Arabidopsis thaliana: one gene and its partners. The protein of the gene in region 4 interacts with the protein of the main gene of each other region in a pairwise test. Each region holds a gene or a part of one and is shown on either strand. Other genes may lie near its edges. The genes, in order: AT5G35460, AT5G03545, NRAMP2 and AT1G21940.

The links.
Region 1: the proteins of AT1G21940 (region 4) and AT5G35460 interact in a protein complementation assay, tested with the Arabidopsis thaliana proteins (one large-scale study listed by BioGRID).
Region 2: the proteins of AT1G21940 (region 4) and AT5G03545 interact in a protein complementation assay, tested with the Arabidopsis thaliana proteins (one large-scale study listed by BioGRID).
Region 3: the proteins of AT1G21940 (region 4) and NRAMP2 interact in a protein complementation assay, tested with the Arabidopsis thaliana proteins (one large-scale study listed by BioGRID).

The regions. Positions count from the first base shown.
Region 1 is NC_003076.8:13,669,844-13,676,202, reverse strand, and holds AT5G35460 (uncharacterized protein), read right to left. Parts: upstream 3,715-6,359; 5' UTR 3,606-3,714; coding exon 3,525-3,605; intron 3,425-3,524; coding exon 3,305-3,424; intron 3,219-3,304; coding exon 3,161-3,218; intron 3,069-3,160; coding exon 2,968-3,068; intron 2,889-2,967; coding exon 2,793-2,888; intron 2,705-2,792; coding exon 2,611-2,704; intron 2,378-2,610; coding exon 2,140-2,377; intron 2,015-2,139; coding exon 1,657-2,014; 3' UTR 700-1,656; downstream 1-699. Other genes in the region: AT5G35450 (Disease resistance protein (CC-NBS-LRR class) family), read right to left, coding at 5,518-6,359. UniProt on the Arabidopsis thaliana protein: Glycerophosphocholine acyltransferase (GPCAT) that utilizes acyl-CoA to acylate glycero-3-phosphocholine (GPC), forming lysophosphatidylcholine (LPC).
Region 2 is NC_003076.8:892,142-896,453, forward strand, and holds AT5G03545 (expressed in response to phosphate starvation protein), read left to right. Parts: upstream 1-2,440; 5' UTR 2,441-2,905; coding exon 2,906-3,118; 3' UTR 3,119-3,376; downstream 3,377-4,312. Other genes in the region: EXO70A1 (exocyst subunit exo70 family protein A1), read left to right, coding at 405-610, 729-929, 1,031-1,130, 1,220-1,320, 1,413-1,559, 1,658-1,775; AT5G03550 (MATH domain/coiled-coil protein), read right to left, coding at 3,672-4,004.
Region 3 is NC_003070.9:17,307,637-17,313,599, forward strand, and holds NRAMP2 (NRAMP metal ion transporter 2), read right to left. Parts: upstream 3,870-5,963; 5' UTR 3,673-3,869; coding exon 3,101-3,672; intron 2,731-3,100; coding exon 2,594-2,730; intron 2,506-2,593; coding exon 1,853-2,505; intron 1,638-1,852; coding exon 1,407-1,637; 3' UTR 1,167-1,406; downstream 1-1,166. Other genes in the region: CYCA3;4 (CYCLIN A3;4), read left to right, coding at 36-191, 292-325, 416-565, 648-782, 868-951. UniProt on the Arabidopsis thaliana protein: Seems to be involved in iron uptake.
Region 4 is NC_003070.9:7,714,478-7,719,683, forward strand, and holds AT1G21940 (uncharacterized protein), read right to left. Parts: upstream 2,499-5,206; coding exon 2,339-2,498; intron 1,085-2,338; coding exon 693-1,084; downstream 1-692.

The DNA of each region.
Region 1 (6,359 bases), on a different chromosome or scaffold from region 4:
AATCGGCTCAGAGACGGAAACCGAATAGTCAACTCGAACCCATTGATAGTGTCACAAAAAAAAGGTCTTGTATTCGCCGTGCTAGTGGATCAGTTTTGCTGGTTCCGGCCACCACCCATGTCCAACCTCAACCTCCTTAACAGCGTTGGCAATTTTTTCTCAGTTTAGTAAATATAGATTGTCGTACTGTCAAGGTCTTAAGCGCATTTCGAGAAATTTTATTCATAAAATTAAGTTTTTTCATTGAATGAACAAAAAATGAGACTAGCGTAAGTGAGAAATATGCCAAGTGTTGTTACTATACTCTCAAAGGTTGATCGATTACCATCATGAATATTGATATCATGGACAACTCGGACCTGACAAAACACATGATCAAGATAATTTTTCAAAAAACATTGTAGTCAAGGACACACCAACAATATTTACATTGATTTTCTGTTTTCTTTCTCTGTTCAGTGCGGTATTTGGCATGTATCTTAATGCGACCTACTTTGTAGATTATATAATCAAAATCTTATTCCATTCATTTCATGTGATACACGACTACACGTCCTGGATTCCACCAAGACAAGGCTCACGGGTCCAATGCTTAGAAGCGAGCGATGGAAGCTTTTAGATGAGAAGTATTTGATTCTACAAACAACCTAGAACTCGCAAGAACAGATTTGATTCAAGATACAAAGTATTGAAGCAAGAAACAAACTGAATTTCAATTGATCAAAGCGTGAATACAAAGTAGAGAATCAAAGAGCTTAAATTGAAAAGTACAACAATGGTCTAAAACTTAGAAAAGGAAACCGAATAATGCGAAATAAAGAGAGGAGCGTGATGATTCTAGCCGTTAGGCTATAATGGAGGATCTTCGGTGATGGCGTCGAGAGCTAAGTTAAAGTCGCAGCTTCTAAACGTCGTGTAGTCTTTTCATGAGGGTGAATATAATCAGCAGAAAGTCTTCAAGTACATCAGGGGGCTCTTCGGTTTGGTTTGACTCAATTTGACCGTACGGTGCAAATTGGTGGTTCTTGAGTCTTCTTCCAAATCAGCTCGTTACAGGGGCGATTTGCATCGATCAAAATCCTCTTCATGGTCGATTTTTGAGTGAATTCTTTGGCGGAACTCAAGTTATTAAGCTTCATCTCCACTGAACAATAGTCGTATCGGACATGATGGATTTCATAATGCTATCGGCATACTTATTAAGCTTATTCCGCGGCTGGTAACGACATGTTCGAGAACTATGCACTATCAAACACATGAATGTTATGATCTTTAGTGATGGTTGTTTTGTACAGCAGAAACAGAAAACAAAATCCGCGTCTCAAGGAGAACTTATCCCAATCTACTTCGCTGAAATCCGAAGATTTTCCTTTCTCGAAAACGCGTTAAAAATATAGTTAAATCTCTCATAATGCAATTTTAAGGCCAGAATGTCCTAGCGAAACAGGATCAAAACTTTGGCTAAAGAGTAAATAACAAGTTTCTTTAGAAAAAATAAACTACAAGATCATTCACATACATTAAGCTTTTAGAATGATGTATAGCAACAAGAGAAACAAACAGTTATAGAACAAAACATGAGGAACAAAAAAAACACCAATCATGATTCACCTTTGAAAACTTTATTTTACATGTACCTTTTTGTTAGAACCATGATCATGTTTCAGTAGATTTTGGCTCATTCTCAGTCGGATGTGACACAGCTTCATGATGTAGTATCTGCTCCTCTATCGGCTGCATCTCAGCTTTCTTCTTCTTCTCTTTCTGGATCACTTGCCGTGGCATTACCTCTAGTAAAAAGCTCCCTCCGTTCCACACAGCCGCAGAAATCTTTAGGATCTGAAAGATCACATGAAGTCTATAAGATAGGAAGATCGGTACGGTCAATGCCATGGTTGCCACCGTGAAGATGGCCTGGAATAGGATGTACATCCATATACGATTCTGATCCCCTAGCAGACCGCTCAGCTGCCACAACTTATTGTTTGCCTTTTCAGCTTTCTTCGACAGCTCTCTGCACATACCAAAGGATTCCATCAATACAAGTGTTCACTCTATGGTAAGAACACATTACATTATGCTGTGACCTTAGCGATCAATATGAGGAGAACATTAACATACGGCGTAGACAAGAGATACCTGTAAGAAGTCATAACTTCAGGATCTCTAAGGAGTCTCTGCCTACGCAGGACATTGACGATTAGAAAATAGAGCACTTGCCAAAGAGTATAAACGACTAAGGGGACGAGAAACAGCCATGTGAATAGGTAAGCTTTGTCTTCAACATAAGGCCATGAAACCCTACGATCAGTGCCTACAGGGTGCATAGCTGCAAAAGTCGCTGGATTCCACCACCTAATCGTGAAAAACACGAGCCCTGAAACCAAAATTCATTACAATAATAAAGAAACAATGGAGAGAGAGAGCATAAAGCTTAACTATATCTATCATATGCATTACAACAAGGAACCATGTGTTTGAATTAAAAACGGTTGAGAGGGGAACAACAAGCTAAGAATTCATACAACTACTTTAATCAAAGCCGTCAACTTTAGCAATATGAATCAATAACATATCTTCTTCTGTCAACAAGAAGATTATAGAACTCACCAGGTAAGAGATGTATAAGAACACTAACAATCTTATCCGGCGAACTAAAAACCAGACTGCAACGCCAGACAATAATCGCCCACGCCAATGGTCCCTGCAGCACAAGACACAACCAATAAAATAAATCAGCACACACAATGACACAAAAGACTCATATACATACATGTAGTTAAAAAGCATACCTCAGCAAAGGAAAAGCAAACCATGAAAAGCTTTTCATTCTTAGGATACAGAAGAAGATCAACCAAGAAGATTGTATTGGCATAGTAGCAAAAGTCCTATCACATACACAAAAATTGTTTCAATAACAATCAAAACGACTGTTTCTTAATTCCAAATCCTCAAAAGAGACATTACCAGAAGATAATAATGCCATTTCTTAAACCGGTAATATATCCATCGAAGAGGAACAAAGATCACATAGAAGAAACAGTAAACTAAAGGAATGTCTTGAGGTCCTGAAAACGAAAACATCATCAACATCAACAACATTGAATTAAGAACAAAACACAAAAAAAACAAAAAAAAAACACAATTTCTTTGAACTCACTTGCACCAAGTAGGAAACAAAAACCTCCAAATCCAAGCACACCAACGAGATGTGTCACCTTTAAAACATTACAGAACCAAACATTTTCAAACCAAAGTAACTTAAAATCAAAACATGATTGAAGAATCAAGAGAGAAACCTAACCTTATTGATGAATCTCTCATGTTCTTCGGCTTGTTTAGCGATCTTAACGGCTTGTTTCGATAAGATCTCACGCGTTTGTACCGCTTGTTTAGACAACAACTCTCTCGTCTGAACAACTTTCTGTCAAAATCAAAAACAATTGGTCCACAAAGTCAAAATCAACAAAATTGGAACAAAAGAGAAACATCAAAAATGGTGAAAATCGAATCTGATGTTGTACCTTTGATCGATCTTTGAAACGTTGTTTAACAGCATCAAACGAGTCTAGTCCATTGGAGTTTGAATCTTCGTTATTCGCCATTATTGCGGTCAGATTTCTCTGTAGATGCTTTTGTCGTTTTTAAAGGAGAATCCGAAAACACTGAATTTTTCTGTTTTCAGGATATTTTACTTTATGCGGAATTAAAAATTTGGTGAAGGAAAATGACCCAAAAATCATTATTAAACTCTTTATATTCGTTACTATTTTTGTTCAGTTTTATAAAGTGGTGATTAATTACATGTAATCCAATAATTACATTCATAATTAAGTAATAAGGACTTTATGTTTTATCTTGGGAAATCAGATGGAATATTAGTCCTCAAAGTAAATTAATTCCATTAATTGCCTTTGGTGATTATATAATTTAAAGACTTTAATAAGAGAGACTGAGAAGGAGCCACGTGTCGAAAGTTGAAACTTCTAGGACCCTCTTTTGCGCGGGTCGAGAAATTTCCTAGCGTACACGTATTTTTCTACATTATTATAGTTAGAGGAACATTTTGTTTAATTGCATCTTGTATTAAAGAAAAAAAGTAAAAAAAGAATGCTGTGGTATAACTTCTTTACTAGGTGCCGACAAAAAAAAAAAACTTCTTAACTAGGTTTTATGAGTTCAAAACTAGAGTTTCTTGACAAGGTTTCACATGTTCCAGAAGCTTTAGTTTTGTTTTTGGATGAAGTTTGAAAGATTCAAAAGCAGTGTTGTAAAAAGCGGTCTAGACGGTCGTTTATATGCCGCTAAGCGTTCAGTTGACGCCTAAATAATCATCTCGACTGCCTAAAATAACATAAATTTCGTTTTAGTATATTTTTTTTATTTTTAACTAATATTGCTTAAATTTTATAAGTTTTACTTCTACACATGGTTATAAACATTCATATATTGTTGATATAAATTAAAGAAACATTTTTATCTAATTTTTGATTAGGATCCGATTAATATTTTCTAATATATAGTTTTATATGATTTTTATCTATAATATCATATTTAAAATGTTTTATGTCATAAACGGATAAACCACCTAAAATCACTTAAACCCCGACTAAGCGTTCTAAACGCTAGGCGTTGGGTCATCGCCCGTTTATCGCCTAACACTTTTTTGAACATTGTTCAAAAGTAAACAAATATACTAAAGCCATAGAATAAGGGGGTCTGTCTGAAGTTGAAACAAGATTTAAAAACAAAAGTACAAAAACTGGTGTTTTGTTCTGACAATCTTATGTTGTTCCTGAACAAGAAATCGACTAATCCCTCAACGACCCAAGTCTAAGTCACGAGTGCAAATATCACACAGTACTGATAAAAGAAATTAAAATGAAACAAAAAACTTGTACAAAATGAGATTGTTTTGTTTATTGTACATCAGTTTTGCTCGTCTTGGTTCAACCATGACTTCACTATGCGTACACAGTAAAAGAGGTGCAAAACTAACAAAACTTAAGCCTAAATGTGATAAAAAACAAATCTAACCAGATTTGATGTAAATAAAGCTTACAAAAGCTAGCTAACTGTGTTAAATCACAAACGAGAAAACAAAACAAATTCGTATAAACATAAATATCCAATTTTTACAATGAACTACAAAAAAAACAAGGTTCGTTTCTCAATTTTATGAAAGAGTTCTCAAGCACGTTCCATGCATCCACACCGAAAACAAACATCAATAAAAAGCATATAGTTCTGAGCCACAACATAACGATGCACTGAAAGCGAGAGCTCCAACGTAATCAGTAGTACTTCAGAATCTGTATTCCAGAGATTTATCAGTAGATGACTCTTGTGAAGCAGCCTCTATCTCTCCCAATATAAGAGAATTTGACTAGCTTCTTGTTCTTTCCTGCATCTATTTAAAAGATGATCGATTTTAGAACAATGTATAAAAGTTGAGACTGTCCACATGACTTTGAAAAGTGAACATTATTATACCGTTTATTTTTTACCTGCTACTGGTTATTCTCTTTGTTCGTCGTCACAGTTGAAAAATTGAACATCGGGAATGTGTTGGACTTTGTAGTAATCTTCTCCAACCAATTTCTCCTTCCACTCCCTCTTCATTCCTTCAATCTTCAGTTCCTTTAAGGATGTTACATACTTGAGTCCGTCAGGAAGTTCCTCCAACTTTTCGCAACTATGTATAATTAAATCACGAAGACATGGCATCGACCCTTCTTCTACTATCCACTCTTCCAACTCCGATTGTTCAGATATTTGTAGAGCACGTAATTGAGGAAACCCGCCTTTTGAGCACACCATTCTCCTCCCTATGAAAGCCTTGCGTCTTAATTCAACCGACTTCAGATGAAGCAACTTTTCTAGAATTGGCATTGGATCCTCCTCCATGTGGCAAAACAATAAATATATGTGTGCAATGTGGGGAGGTAATTGATGTTGATCAGGAATCTTTGACAAATGTACTCCCAAACTTAACTTCTTTAGATGAATAAAATCCAGAACGAATTCTCCCACATAATCAACCATATAGGTTTTGCGCGAATAAATGAAACTAAGTGTCTCCAGCTTTCGAAATTGACGGAGAGATGAAGATAGATTTTCAAAAGTACACCTTTCACTAAAAGATACACCGAAAAACCTGAGCTTGGTCATACGGAGGAGGTCTGTCACACTACTGTGTTGCGTTGAGAAACACCACAAGTACTCCAGGTTCACTAGATCACCCAATTCCAACTTGGTTTTATCATGCATATCCAGAGGTAGGGAAAGGTACCTCAACTCTAGCATCTCTTTCAAAACATTTGGCACGTGAACCGGCACCCCGATAGCAACATGTAAGT
Region 2 (4,312 bases), on a different chromosome or scaffold from region 4:
TATAGAATATAGGATGCTGCAAACGTCTAGTTTTATTGACACTGACACACATAACGATTTACCATATTAAGACGTAAAACTTCAGTTTGCATACGCATAGAGTTCACCACTTACTTCTTAGAGATGTCAAACCTAGCTGCTTTGTTTACTTGAGGAGTAATATATGGAAAGTGATTGTCTTTAATGTTTTTCTTCCCATGTGGAGTTTCTATCAATCAGATATGTTTTTGACCAACTGAAATCCCCACCATAATAAACAGCATGGCACACAGAGAAAAAACTTTGTGATACATATGTAGTGGAAGTTTGCTATCTAGGACGACATAAAGTGTGAATTTTCTTATGACCAGTTTATGGTATAAGATTAGATGGTACAATCTCATGAAATTTGTGTCCATGGACAGATTGAGACAATTTTCAAAGGGAAAGCATGCCTCGAAATTAGAGATTCTGCGACGGGCTTGACAAAGCGGTTGGCGCAAACTGCTCAGGAAACATTTGGTGATTTTGAAGAAGCTGTTGAGAAAGATGCTACAAAGACTGCTGTTCTAGATGGAACTGTCCACCCACTAACAAGCTATGTCATCAATTATGTCAAGTTTTTATTCGAGTAAGTACATCATATATACTCAACTTATTTCCTCGAACTATTTGCGTATTGTTCTTCTCCATACTGCTATTTGCGTATTGTCCCTTTCCACGCTTTAATTGATGATCATTGGTGTCAGCTACCAAACAACATTGAAGCAACTTTTCTTGGAATTTGGAAATGGAGATGACTCAAATTCGCAGCTAGCATCCGTAACGATGCGGATAATGCAGGCGCTTCAAAACAACTTGGACGGAAAATCGAAACAGTACAAAGATCCTGCATTGACACACTTGTTCCTGATGAACAACATTCATTACATGGTCAGATCTGTGCGCAGGTATATTATTTTTCTCGTTTAAACTTTAAAGGCTGATCTGGTTTTATTAAAAAAATAAAAGAACGCACTCATTTAGCTTTATTCATATGATAATTTTTCAGGTCAGAAGCCAAGGATTTGTTAGGCGATGATTGGGTTCAAAGACATAGGCGTATCGTGCAGCAACATGCAAACCAATACAAAAGAGTTGCCTGGACAAAGGTTCTGTCTATTTGTCTAACTCTGTAAAGAAACACTATTATATAAAATTTCATTAAATTGTTACTAAGAAACTGTTACATATTTTGTAGATACTACAAAGCTCATCGGCGCAAGGTTTGACCTCATCTGGGGGAGGAAGTTTAGAGGGAGGAAACAGCAGTGGAGTTTCAAGAGGATTATTAAAAGAGAGGTAAGTCCTAAACATGTAAAATAAACACAGTAATTGGCAAATGTTTATATATTTGGTAATGATGATAAATCTGTAAAAAAAAAATGGAACAGGTTCAAGATGTTCAATATGCAGTTTGATGAGTTGCATCAGAGACAATCGCAATGGACAGTTCCAGACACAGAGTTAAGAGAGTCACTAAGACTTGCTGTTGCTGAAGTATTATTGCCTGCTTATAGATCATTCCTCAAACGCTTTGGGTAAAAATCTCCTTTCTCTCTTTACTGCGAAGGCTTTTCTAATATTTGATTGAAATGTAAAAAAACCTAAATGAGATTTTAACCTATGATCGATGCAGGCCTTTGGTTGAGAGTGGGAAGAATCCTCAGAAATACATAAAGTATACAGCTGAAGATCTTGAAAGATTGTTGGGTGAGTTGTTTGAAGGAAAGTCTATGAATGAACCACGCCGGTAAAAAAACAACTAAAAGATGATGAAAACTAATTGTGTAAGGTAAATTTCTATCAAACTCTTCTTTTTTTTGGCTTACCTTACATAACTAGGTTCGTTGCTATTGTATATGCAGTGTCAACTTTTCGTTTTTTGTATTCTACTATTCTTTGGTTGGAATGAGAATGTGTAAATTACTTGGAGACAGAGTTGTTTCCTTTTGTATACGTTAAACGTTTTGAAATAACCATGGCCTAATAAGTCTAATCTCAACTCACAAGGATATGAAATCTTTTTTCTTAGAATGAAATTAATCGGAAATCAAAATCCTAGGCGTAATTTATAAAAAAAAATATGCAGTGAAGGAGCTAAGTTATAAGTTGATATGATTGACAATTGCTTTGAGACGAGCTTTGGTACTAAAGATCGAGCCAATAATATTTGTCCGAACAGCTGAACTAAGCTTGGGGACAAGATTGTCATGCGGATCAATTCTGTTATTTTCTTAATGGATTTTAGGTGATTAATCAGTTGTTATTGAACAGAACAAGACAGATAGAGCTCTACCGACTTGCATACTTAAATGAAAGAAATATGATTTATTAGTAAAATAAAGAGTGATGAGATGGTTTTGTTGTTTTAAAACACACATGTTTGGTAATTGGCATATTCCTTTTAGAAGATCCAAATTCTCCCAACATCTTTACATGGACTTCCCCATTTCCATCATCTCCTTCCACTTTTTTCCCAAAATAATATAAAAAAATGATAATTTGAATCGATGTAATGAGTGTATTCAACCTCTTGTATAATTTGTCTCCATGACCAAAGACAAAGAGAGAAGCCATAAAAACCCTAACAACATCCATTGTTGAAACTCTCTTTGGCACAACACCAAACACACAAAATATGGCCATCCCCTAAAGAAACTGAAGCTCAAGAACCCTCTGAATCTATCAGAAGATCTCACCAATAAAGGGTTTTGAGAGGTTCAAGTTTCTCTTTATGGGATGGCCCCAAACACAAGAGTACTCACAAAAGGTAAGAAGAAGAAGAGATCTCTTGGAGATTATGATTGTGAATGTTCGTGTGTGGGTGTTGTGTAAATGATCATCATCATCATCATCATCATTATCCAATATCATAATTATCAATATGGTGATGATGATGATGATGAGGATTGTGTGTGAATGGAGCGATGAAGATTGCATGAAGGTTGATGAAGACAAGCTTGATGTGTCTTTTGTTATCCCTCGTTTGGGCAACTTCGATCCTTTGGCAAGCTTCGGTTCCCCTCGGAATCAGCAGATTATGATTACTATAGCTCTTATATGTTTATGTTCCGTGTTTACTTTGTTTCCGGTTTAGTTTGGTTTATTGTCTTTAATTTCGTCATGTTTGTGTTGAATGTGTGTTGTTGTTATCCCGTGTGATGCACCATTCAGGTGTGTTCCTATGTGTGTGTGAGGAATAAAAGAATATTCGGTTTTGATATCTAAAATCAAACCCCACTTCTACCTTTCATTAATAGTGAGTGTCTTCAAACAATTTTGTTTTAGCAATCTGTGTATACCTTTATCAAAAATACTTTTAAGCTGGCCCATTCTTAGCCCATTAATAGTCCAGTTTTAGCCAATTGAAATCGGGTAAATTTAAACACATTCATTCTTCTAATATGAGCATCTATGAAGAAACCCAAGAGAGCCCTAATCAAACCGTGTCTGACAAGCTATTAAATAAAAAGTCGTATAAAGTAAAACAAACTAGAAAACCTACTACAGAAAACGTAGGGGTATCTAATTATGTTTTTTTCCGAATAATACATGATTATTGTTTCTAGATAAACAATCCATAATAATAATATTAAAAAAAAAAAAAGATTAGATAACCCTAAATAACCATTATGTTATTCTAAAGTGTTTTAGAAAAAATTAAAATATAGTCGCCCATCTTTTGTTGCGTGTATCCAGCTTGGTTGCTTCTTCAACTTCTTCTTCTCCTTTTTCCTCTCACTATTGAGATCAGTCGCAGTCATCACGAGTTTCTTGACCTCTAGTTTGAGTTCCAGAATCCGTTCTTCAGAAGTCTTCTTCTCCAAGGAAACCATGTCAAGCTTTGACTGCAACCAATCCAGGTTAAAACCGGCTTGTGTCAGATCACACATATCCTTTGAAGCTTTGCTCAATTCTGCTTCGGTGAGATAACCAAGAGGCGTGTGGTAAAGTATCCCGATGATGTCGCAGAGAAGGTTCATTTAAGTATTCCTGAGAGCTTGGTTTTGCACTTTGACATGGTCTGTAGTTTCTGGATATGTCTGAAAAATCCACTTTGCTAACGTTATGTGACAAGAATCAATGGCAAAACCATTGACTCTAATCTTTCTTCGTCTATGCAACAACGGAATTTGGTCCCCCATAACTTGGCTTTTGATTTCGGTATAGGTAATTAATGTCAGAGCAAAAAGTTTTTTTTGTTTTTTTTTTGCTTCATGAATGATTGTTTTAGAACTCGCTCTCTTTATATAGAGGAGGCAGAAGCTTTCTAATTCCTAAACCAAATCGA
Region 3 (5,963 bases), 9.6 Mb from region 4:
GGCTTATGGAATCTTTATTTTTGCTTTTAAAAAAGTAGGAAATATGAAGAGATAGGTCCTCCTAAAGTTGAAGATTTTTGTTACATTACGGATAATACATTTACTAAACAAGAAGTGGTGTCGATGGAGGCGGATATACTTCTTGCTCTGCAGTTTGAATTAGGAAGCCCAACCATCAAAACATTCCTAAGGTTCGACTCTGAAACAGTCTGGTGTTTAAACTTATGATTTCATGGTTTTACTTGCCCTTGTTTTGATTGTTATTCTCTTTTTTATGTCGTGTTTGTGCAGACGGTTTACACGGGTTGCACAAGAAGATTTCAAAGTAAGCTCAAAATCGATGTACCTGTAAACTGTGGCATTTGCATCTCATAATTTCTATTGTTAAATCTTCTTTTTTTTCATGCCTTTGCAGGACTCACAATTGCAGATAGAGTTCCTTTGTTGCTATCTATCAGAATTGAGTATGTTAGATTACACCTGTGTGAAGTATTTGCCATCTCTTTTGTCTGCTTCAGCTGTATTTCTTGCCCGGTTCATCATCCGTCCAAAACAACATCCTTGGGTAAGCAAATTAAGAACCATGACAGGTTCTTATACAGAAAAAGTTCTTTATATTCTAAATCCTCTTCTGGTGATGCAAACAGAATCAAATGCTAGAAGAATACACAAAGTACAAAGCAGCTGATCTACAAGTGTGCGTGGGTATCATACATGACTTGTATCTAAGCAGAAGAGGAAACACTCTAGAAGCTGTTAGAAATAAGTACAAGCAACACAAGGTAAATTCAACAATTCAATGATGTAACTTTAAACTTGTGATATATTGCAACAAGAACATTCTAATATCTGATTCTCTTGGTACAGTACAAGTGCGTTGCGACCATGCCTGTTTCACCGGAGCTACCTCTTGCTTTCTTTGAAGATATTACCATTAGAGGAATGGCGTAAAAGAAGCTTGAAGCTTATGTATTGGAAGTGTTAGTTACCTGAATTTTGGGTTGTATATATCTGTTAGAATGGCAGATTAGTATTGAGTATTATCTCTTTTAGCGTATGTTCAATGATTTTTGCTAACACTAGTTAAGAAACTTTTTTTTTTTTGCTTGACCATTTTTTCAATGGTTTATTAGATTTTTATTGATTTGTTTTCTGCTTTTTTCTATGATGTAAAAGCCTCTTTAAATCATATTGGAATGTGCACATCCTCTTAACAAAAACAAAAAAGTACAACAAAGACTTTGCCACTACATATTTGTGATGTTAACATTCACAAAAAGCTAAGCTAACTCTTATCACCACTTTGGCGTTTCAATATGTATAAGACTATAGTGGATGAAGTTTGTTTACTGTATCTTCTTGACATGTAACAAATGGTCTTGAGGGCAGTTATTTTTGTGCAGCTACTAGCTATTGGAGACGGACACTCTTTTGGGAAGTTCTATGGAAGAGGATGACCAAGGAGAAGGAAAAAAGTTGCTGTGTGAAATGAGGTACACTATAAAGGCGATATAAGCAGTCGTCCAGACGCAGACCGTAACTCCAAACAGAAACCCGTCGACTTCTGATACAAAGAAATCCAACAGAAGATACCCATTGATGATCATTACAAGTGCAGCCACAGTCCAAGCTATTCTCTGCAATGTAATCAATAAATCCAATCAACTTACAAATACTCACTCTTCATGCTTCTCTATTCCATTGAAGGACTTTCAATTCTACATGTTTACTAAGATAATTGCACAAACAGTGAAACTAAAAAAGTCGAGACACCTAAAACGATAAGACTCAACACTAATTCACCTATTGTGGTATCCTATGGAGACTTGTAGTAAAAGAAGTGGAAATTTACCTGGAGAATAGGCCCAATCTTGAAGTCTCCCATAATTTCTTCTTTGGATACCAAGGTTAGAAGAGGGAGAAGAGCAAAAGGAATTTGTACAGACTGAAGGACATTGAGCCATTCATTCAAAACATCCAAGGAAGCTTCAGAAGTATTGAACACGATTGCCACAATCATTGTAGGCACAATAGCACAGCTTCTTGTTATTACTGCCCTCATCCATTTCTTAAGCCGGAGATTCAGAAAACCGCCCATTATAAACTGTCCAGCATATGTACCAGTTATCGTACTGCTTTGTCCGGCTGCTAACAACCCGATACCCCAGATATAAAGAATCGGAAGAAGCCCGCCTCCAAACTTTTCTTGAAGATACTGACCAGCATTAACTAGGCCAATGTTATTAGCTTTCTCAGTTCCATAAAACCCCTTTGCAAAGACAGTAGTCACAAACAAGTTAATCATGAAGGAGATGAAAAGTGCGACGGATGACTCGATCAAATAGTAATTAAGCGCTTCTTGAACCCGGGATTTCCTCTTCGGATCGATTTTCCTCGATTGTACAAGAGCCGAATGCAAAAACACATTGTGAGGCATTATAACACAGCCAACAACACCTACAGCTTGCCTAATTGTCTTTGAGCTAAGTCTCGGTAGTAAAATACCTATCCATAAACACAAAGATTTGATTTTTAAGCACTCAAATCAAAGCAAATAAAGTGAAATTCAAGAGTAAAAATCTGAAATCTTTACCTATCATAAGTTCTTTCCCACTCGGTTTTGTTTCACCAAACATCCAAGCAAAGGACAAACCCATAGTTGCGATCAAAACTGCAAAAACAGCTTCTAACTTCCTCACACCGTAATTCTCTAGAAACAAAAATAAAAAACTGTTTGCAACAAATTCATTAGCCAAGTTTTCAAAATACAAAAAAGCAAGTTTCTTAATTTCAGATTCGATCACAAATCGTTAAACCAATTCTCTACTGATTTGTGAGTTTGGATCATCTTAGCAAAGTTTTACAAGAAAACAGCCAAAGTAAAAGCAAATTCTCAACTTCAGATTGAATCATGAATCTCTAAACCAAGTTTCTACTGATTTGTGAGTTCGAATGATCCATACTCAAACTCAATACCGCTAAGATGATCCGCAAAGTTTTAAAATTTCAGAATGAATCATAAGATTCTCCAAACCAAGTCTCTACTAATTCTACGAATCCAACATCTCTAAAGAACGAATAGAGTATCGAAAGGACTCACCAATCGGAAGCAGTAATAACAACACCAGCCCAAAGAGGCAAGAAGCCACGGCTAAGAATCTGAATAGCAATAGCACTACCAATAACCTCTTGAATATCAGCACCAATCAAAGCAAGTTCCGCCATAGACCAAAGCACATACCTAGCCCAAGTAGGATACTCATCACGACAAAGCTCAGCTAAATGACGACCAGTAGCTACACCGACTCTAGCTGACAACATCTGAATCAACAACCCCATAGCTGTTGCCCACATTAGTAGCCACAACAGAGAATAGCCAGCGATTGCACCAGCTTGTAGATCTCCTTCTAGATTCCCTGGATCCAAAAACGCTATACTCATTAAGAAACCTGGACCGGTGAATAACCAGAGCTTCCGCCATGAGAATGGCGGTGGTGTGTCTCCGGTTGTTGGATCGTCGGGTGATTCGAAATCGACGATTAGGATCTTTTCGTTTGTTTCGAAAGCCGCTTCGGATTCGGAATCGGTGGATGGGAGAGATTGTGAAGGAGGAGGAGGAGGAAGAAGACGGTCTTCCTCTTCTTCGAGATTCTCTTTGACGTCGTTTTCCATGGAGGAAGAGGGAATATTCGGTGAGGGTTAAATCGGAATATTCTGTCGGTGGTGGTGGTGGTGTCGTCGACGTACCTGAATTTTGAATTGGAGGGATAAAAGAAGAAGAAGACGCAGGCACTTAATCAGATGCTTTTTAAAAAAGAGATTAATGCGTTTCTTTTTCGTAACTTTTTGGTACCAGATTCAACTTTATTATATTAATGCCTAAAAAAGAAGAAAAACTTTATGTTATAAATTTGCTTTGAAATTATGTATTTAGTGTAGTGTTGCCATAGTTGTATTGTCACAAATTTGAATAAAGCTTTGCTTTTTAATGACGTTAATTGAATACAAGGTAGTGAATAAAGTGTGTGTTTTATACATTTTTAGATCCATTGCTTGATCTATCTCTTCCTCTCTTTTATAGATCACAATGTGTGAAACTAAATATCCCACACCAAAAGTTTATTGAGTTTCCAATATAAGATTCATGATTAGTTTTTTAGAGCTTCATGAATAGCATAGTTGATATGATTGTATTACTCACATTCCAAAAATTTATGAGCAGAAACTCAACCATTGATAAAATGTTTTTTTTTTTTTGATGCGATGCAAATTATGAAAATTTAACCTCCTCATCCGAAAGTCTTTTAACTAGAACTCAGTTTTAATCTCATCAGAAATTACTGGTTTACATTCAATAAGCTTACTAAATTTTTTTGCTGAATTTTCCAAAGTGAACAAATCATGAGGATTTTTAGTTAAGTGAATATTTAGTGACTATTTTTCTTTTTTTCTTTTTTTTTTGTATCATGAGGATATTTAGTGACTAGTATTTTTGTCAATCCCTTCATGTGTGTTTTCATCACTCATTATTTAAATCATAAAAACATGTTATTCGTTTTTTTTGTGTGTTTCAACTTTCAAGCATGAACATAATTAGTATTTCTACTGTACCTTCTTTTACCATATTTCAATGAGTATCTACATAAAATAGCCATGGATTCAAAAAAAATTAAGAGAATAGCCATGAGCTACAGGGGTAAGTCGGAAACACATGTAATTTTACATGTATAACCTTAGACATCAAAGCGACAAGACACTGTTTGGGGAGCGTATGATTCTGGGTTTGAAATTTGAATTCTATTGCATTATTCGGCCCAAGTTTGTCTCACGACCAAAGTAATAACCCTAAAATTAAAAAAAAAAAAAAAAAAAAAAATTTTTCTCACCGAAAAAACCTCTCTCGGCGGCGATTAATTTCATCGTCGTTGCTCTCATCTTTTCGATCCAAGTAGTAGTTGTTTCTAGAAATTGATTGTGTTTCCGATTATCCTTTTCAAATCGTCTTCTCGTTGCAGTCGCCGGTGACAATCGAAGGATTAATTTTTGGTCTTCCCTCGCCGACGATTTGGGTAAGTAGAACCACTGATTTCCGATTATTTACAGTTGCTCTTCTTATTTCTCTTCCCCTATACCTTTAATTGCATGTCAATCATCGCTTGTGTCTAGATCTAAAGTTCGGTTCGTTGTTAACTAACCCTAATTTTGTTTCGTGTACTGTTGATGAATGAAAGTTAGGCGACCATCGAGAGTTTGCGGCTAAAGTCTCTGTTTTTTTTTTGGGAATCCTTCTGTGCTTTTTTGGAAAACACATGAGGTTTGTAAATATTGATGTGCTTTGTTTGAATAACCCACGAGGTTTGTAGATATTGCGTCCTTTATCTGTGTTTCTTACATGCAACTAACCCATTTTTTGTCTCTTACTATTCACGAAAGAAGATTAGGCGATATCGGAGGCTTTTGTGGCTGACGCTGTGGGTTTTGTTTGAAAAACACTTGAGGTTTGTAAATATTGTCTTTTGATCTGTTCTCTTTTATACTATACTAACCCAAATTTTGAACGTCTTACGTTCCATGACTGCAGATTCGGCGATATCGAGGATTTTGAACGTCTTACGTTCCATTCATTTTCGTTTATTTATCGCCGATCTTCTTCTATTTCTTCCCCTTTATACTTCAATTGCATAGAAAATAACGATTGTGGCCAGATCTAAAGTTCGGTTCTTTTTTCCCTCTATCTATATCTTCTTCTATTTCTTCCCATGTATACTTCCATAAGTATCTTGCATAGGGTTCTTACCTGTTGTGTCCAGATCTAAGTTTTGATTCTTTTTTATTTATTCTCTACTAACCCTCAATTTTTTCTTAATCTCTCTACATGAAGTTAGATAAGGCGAGATCTGGGAATTTCCTCAAACTCTTTGGATTCTGCTTCGTCCGTCTAGGGTTTTTGTTTAAAAACAAGA
Region 4 (5,206 bases):
GCAATAGAATTTAATACGATAATATATCTGAAACTGTTACGAGCAATGTATATGAATCGATAAATCTTGGACTCCAATATCAAATGGTATTCAAAAACTAAAAAGGTTCAAAGTGAAAACTTTTATCAACAAACTCTTGTTCAAACTAATGAAACAAAGAAAGATTATTATAACGATAAACGATGAATCTCACTAAAACGACGGCGTTCCAAGTCGAAAGCAGAGGGAATGTTGAAAGTTAAACTTGATTTTGAATAAGTTTAATTATTGGATCAATTATCCAATAATTAATTATGGCCAAATCCAAGTTCTAGAGTTTTCTCTAGAAATATCATCATTTCCACCTCCTTAAAAGATTCTAGAAATTTTCTAGAATCATCTTCCACCTCCTTAAACATAAAAATCTAGATACTCTAATAGAATAATCTAGATAATTTGAATAATGTAATCTAAATCTTATGTAAGAACTCTCTAGACTTAGGATTAAAATATTTTAGATATTTTGTAGTTTGGAGGCTATAAATACCTCCTCCCCCTCTCAAATGTTGCAATGTTGTGAAGTTATCTTCAAGTTTAAAGCAAAGTAATAAAAGTTATATTTCCTAAAAAACTCTCTCAAAACACTTAAACACTTTCTCCATTACCTCTAAAAGAATTTTACTCTAACAGGGAAGATTCCGGCGAACACAAACTCATCCGACGACGAAGAACCGAAGATAAGCGGAGAAGCAGAGCGAAATCGCTAGGCAGATAGAACCCAACGTAAGTTTCATGTCCGTCTCTTCTCGTAGTCTACGCATCACCACCGGCGCAAACGTGAGTCCAAGCATCGATAAACCGATTCTGATAATCACCACCATAAAGCACATATCGGCCATCTTGTTCAGCTCTGATGCACAGTATAACGCCACGTGTCCGTTCTTCGTCGTCTCCGTTAGATATGAACCGTCGAAACCAGAAGCTCGTTTGCAGATTCCGGTGAAAATGGCGAGCGAAACTGCAAGAAAGAAACGATCGTTTACACGACGAGTTTCTTCTCTTCTCTCACGACCTCCATCTTCGTCATCCATTGCGATCTCGTAGTCTTGCAGGAGAAAATGGAGATTTTGAAACGATGATTGATGAAAAAATCAGAATCCGGGAAAAAGTGAGAAAATTTGTCTCTGAGAGGTTTTGGAGTTTGTTAAAGAGGGAAAGAAGAAGGGTTTATAACCTAACCATGGTTAAAATTTTAACCATGGACCATAGTTTATTTTTTAACCTTGCTTTTTCTCTAACCATGGTTTATAATCCGTACGTGTTGAAAAAGTTTCAAGGAGAGAGGTGATGACTGATGATATTGAGTGGACGAAGGACTTACCTCTTTTGGTCACTGTTAAAAATTGGTTTCTTGAATTACTGGTTACAAAATTTCGTTCGTTGCTGAACCGGAAATTGACAATTTTGGTTACACAGAATTGGGACCAAAAATATCTGCATGGTTTAGTATTTGATCATATAACTACCTATAAAAAGACTAGAAATATTTTATATTGTTAGATAATTGTGAAATTTTGAACAAAAAAAAATGTTAAGGGTTAAATATGGTCTTTTTTACTAAGTTTTATTCATCGGTTTTTCTAAAATGTTACTACTTTGGGTAAACAAAAGTTAAAGCAGTTGCCTGATTACGACACGTTGAACAATGGATTGATCTTATGTAAATTTAATTGATAAAAAAACAGTTCATGACTGCATTTTGCAGCTAATTCCTTAAACATTTTGAGCTAAAATTTGAAACTATCATCAAGAACATGAAGTAATTAGTCTTAATCCGATATCATAAACGGTTCACACACACATCGATTTCTTTGTAAAACTAATTATTGTATTCAGGGATGCGATCCGAAACTTTAACGCATTTTTATCTATGCAAATACAGTATGAAGTGATAAATATTGCAAGTTGTAACTACAATATCAATTAATATTCAGAAAATCTTGTTTAAACCTTTTATTCAAGAAACCAAAATGTTCACAACACAAATCCAAAGAAATAAACGAAAAGCAGATACAGAGCATCCGCGATGGTCTCACTGAACGATCACAGGTCCAAATATTCAAACCTCTAATCAAAGAAACCATAATGTTCAAAACAACAAACCCATCAAAGAAAGAAAAAAACGAAAACTAGATTGTAGATAGAAAGAGAGATGATAAATGTAAGCATCGTCGATGGTCTCACTAAAAGACACAGGTCCATAGTAACGGTGGAAGAAACTCAAGACACACCACTCACCCGGTGACGGAGCAGCGAAGGTACGCTAAGAAAGCAATCGTGAGGACGACAAAAATCAAACCCACGAGCAGCTGCACGTCACACTCTTCTCGTACTTTTCTCATCTGTTCCAGTTCCACCACCATCGGAGCAACAATGATCTTGAGAATCACAAGCATAAAAGCAAGATGCGCCCACAAGTTGAACTCCATCGCCCAAGAATACGCCACGTGTCCGGTCATCGTCGGGTTTGGATCTGAGCCAGCAGCTGCTCTTTTGCAGACTCTTGTGGACAGTTCAAGCAACACTGCGACGACAAAACGACCGTTCAATCTACGAAGCTCTTCACGTCCCTGTCACGATTCTCTTCACGTGGCTCAACAACTCCTTCCATGGCGAGAGATTCTTGCAGGAGAAAAGAAAAACAAGATTTTGAGACGAAGATTGTGAAAATGAAAACAGATTCGGGAGAGAAAATCTATATAATAAGGGTTTTTGGAGTTTATAAGCATAAAATGTTTCTTTTATTTAAATTAACCACGGTTAAAGTTTGACCGTGGACCATGGTTAATTGGTTATAGTAATCGTACGTTTTCTAACGGGACGTGAGTCTTGATGACTGTGTTGAAAGTTAAACTTGATTTTGAATCAAGTTTAATTATTGGATCAATTATCCAATAATTAATTATGGCCAAATTCAAGTTTTAGAATTTTCTCTAGAAATATCATCATTTCCACCTCCTTAAAAGATTCTAGAAATTTTGTAGAATCATCTTCCACCTCCTTAAACATAAAAATCTAGATACTCTAATAGAATAATCTAGATAATTTGAATAATGTAATCTAGATCTTATATAAGAACTCTCTAGACTTACGATTAAAATATTTTAGATATTTTGTAGTTTGGAGGCTATAAATACCTCCTCCTCCTCTCAAATGTTGCAATGTTGTGAAGTTGTCTTCAAGTTTAAAGCAAAGTAATTAAAGTTCTATTTCCAAAAAAACTCTCTCAAAACACTTAAACACTTTCTCCATTACCTCTAAAATAATTTTACTCTAACAAAGTGGTAGCAGAACTTGAAGATCCTAAAGATGGCGAGTAACAATGTTCCCTTCCAAGTCCCGGTGCTCACAAAGAGCAACTATGATAATTGGAGTCTACAAATGAAGGCTATCCTAGGAGCACATGACGTGTGGGAGATAGTCGAGAAAGGTTTCATTGAACCGGAGAATGAAGGTAGTCTTTCTCAAACTCAAAAGGATGGTTTGAGAGACTCAAGAAAGAGAGACAAGAAAGCTCTCTGTCTAATCTATCAAGGATTAGATGAAGATACGTTCGAGAAGGTCGTTGAAGCTACGTCGGCGAAAGAAGCATGGGAGAAGCTTCGAACCTCTTACAAAGGTGTCGATCAAGTCAAGAAAGTACGTCTTCAAACTCTAAGAGGAGAATTTGAAGCACTACAAATGAAGGAAGGTGAACTCGTCTCCGACTACTTCTCAAGAGTGTTGACGGTTACTAATAACCTTAAAAGAAACGGAGAGAAGCTAGATGATGTGAGAATCATGGAGAAAGTTCTTAGATCATTGGATCTAAAATTTGAGCATATTGTCACCGTCATTGAAGAAACAAAAGATTTAGAAGCTATGACAATAGAGCAACTTCTTGGGTCATTACAAGCTTATGAAGAAAAGAAGAAGAAGAAAGAAGATATCGTCGAACAAGTCCTCAATATGCGAATTACAAAAGAAGAAAACGGCCAAAGTTACCAAAGAAGAGGTGGTGGTGAAGTACGAGGACGAGGTCGTGGTGGATATGGAAATGGACGTGGTTGGAGGCCACATGAAGACAACACAAACCAAAGAGGTGAAAACTCATCAAGAGGTCGTGGGAAAGGACACCCAAAATCAAGATACGATAAATCAAGTGTCAAATGCTACAATTGTGGGAAGTTTGGACATTAGGCTTCTGAATGTAAAGCTCCTAGCAACAAAAAATTTGAGGAGAAGGCCAACTACGTTGAAGAAAAAATTCAAGAAGAAGACATGTTATTAATGGCTAGCTACAAGAAAGATGAACAAGAAGAGAATCATAAGTGGTACCTCGATAGTGGTGCAAGTAATCACATGTGCGGGAGAAAAAGTATGTTCGCGGAGCTTGATGAATCGGTGAGAGGAAATGTGGCTTTAGGAGATGAATCGAAGATGGAGGTAAAAGGTAAAGGAAACATTCTCATTCGATTGAAGAATGGAGATCATCAATTTATATCCAACGTTTACTATATTCCGAGCATGAAGACAAACATCTTGAGCCTTGGACAACTCTTAGAGAAAGGTTATGATATTAGATTAAAAGATAATAACCTTTCAATAAGAGACCAAGAAAGCAATCTCATTACCAAGGTGCCAATGTCGAAAAATAGAATGTTTGTCCTCAACATTCGAAATGACATTGCACAATGTCTCAAGATGTGTTACAAAGAGGAGTCTTGGCTATGGCATCTTCGATTCGGACATCTAAATTTTGGAGGATTGGAGTTGCTTTCAAGGAAGGAAATGGTGAGAGGGCTACCTTGTATAAATCATCCAAATCAAGTGTGTGAAGGATGTCTACTTGGAAAGCAATTCAAAATGAGCTTTCCAAAGGAGTCAAGTTCAAGAGCTCAAAAACCGTTGGAGCTAATACATACCGATGTGTGTGGTCCGATCAAGCCGAAATCACTTGGTAAAAGTAATTACTTCCTTCTCTCAAATGTATAACTCCCCAGGAATTTCAATTGCGCTTATATTCATCCCATTCTAAAACAATTAGATGATGATAAAATTAACAAAGATTGGGACTCCTAATCGAAAAGGGATATTTAATTAGGTTCCATAAAAAAAAAAAAAGGCTTGAAAAAGAACCTTCTCCACTTTATTCTTAAAAAGCCTCATGCTTATTCGAAAGCTTTGT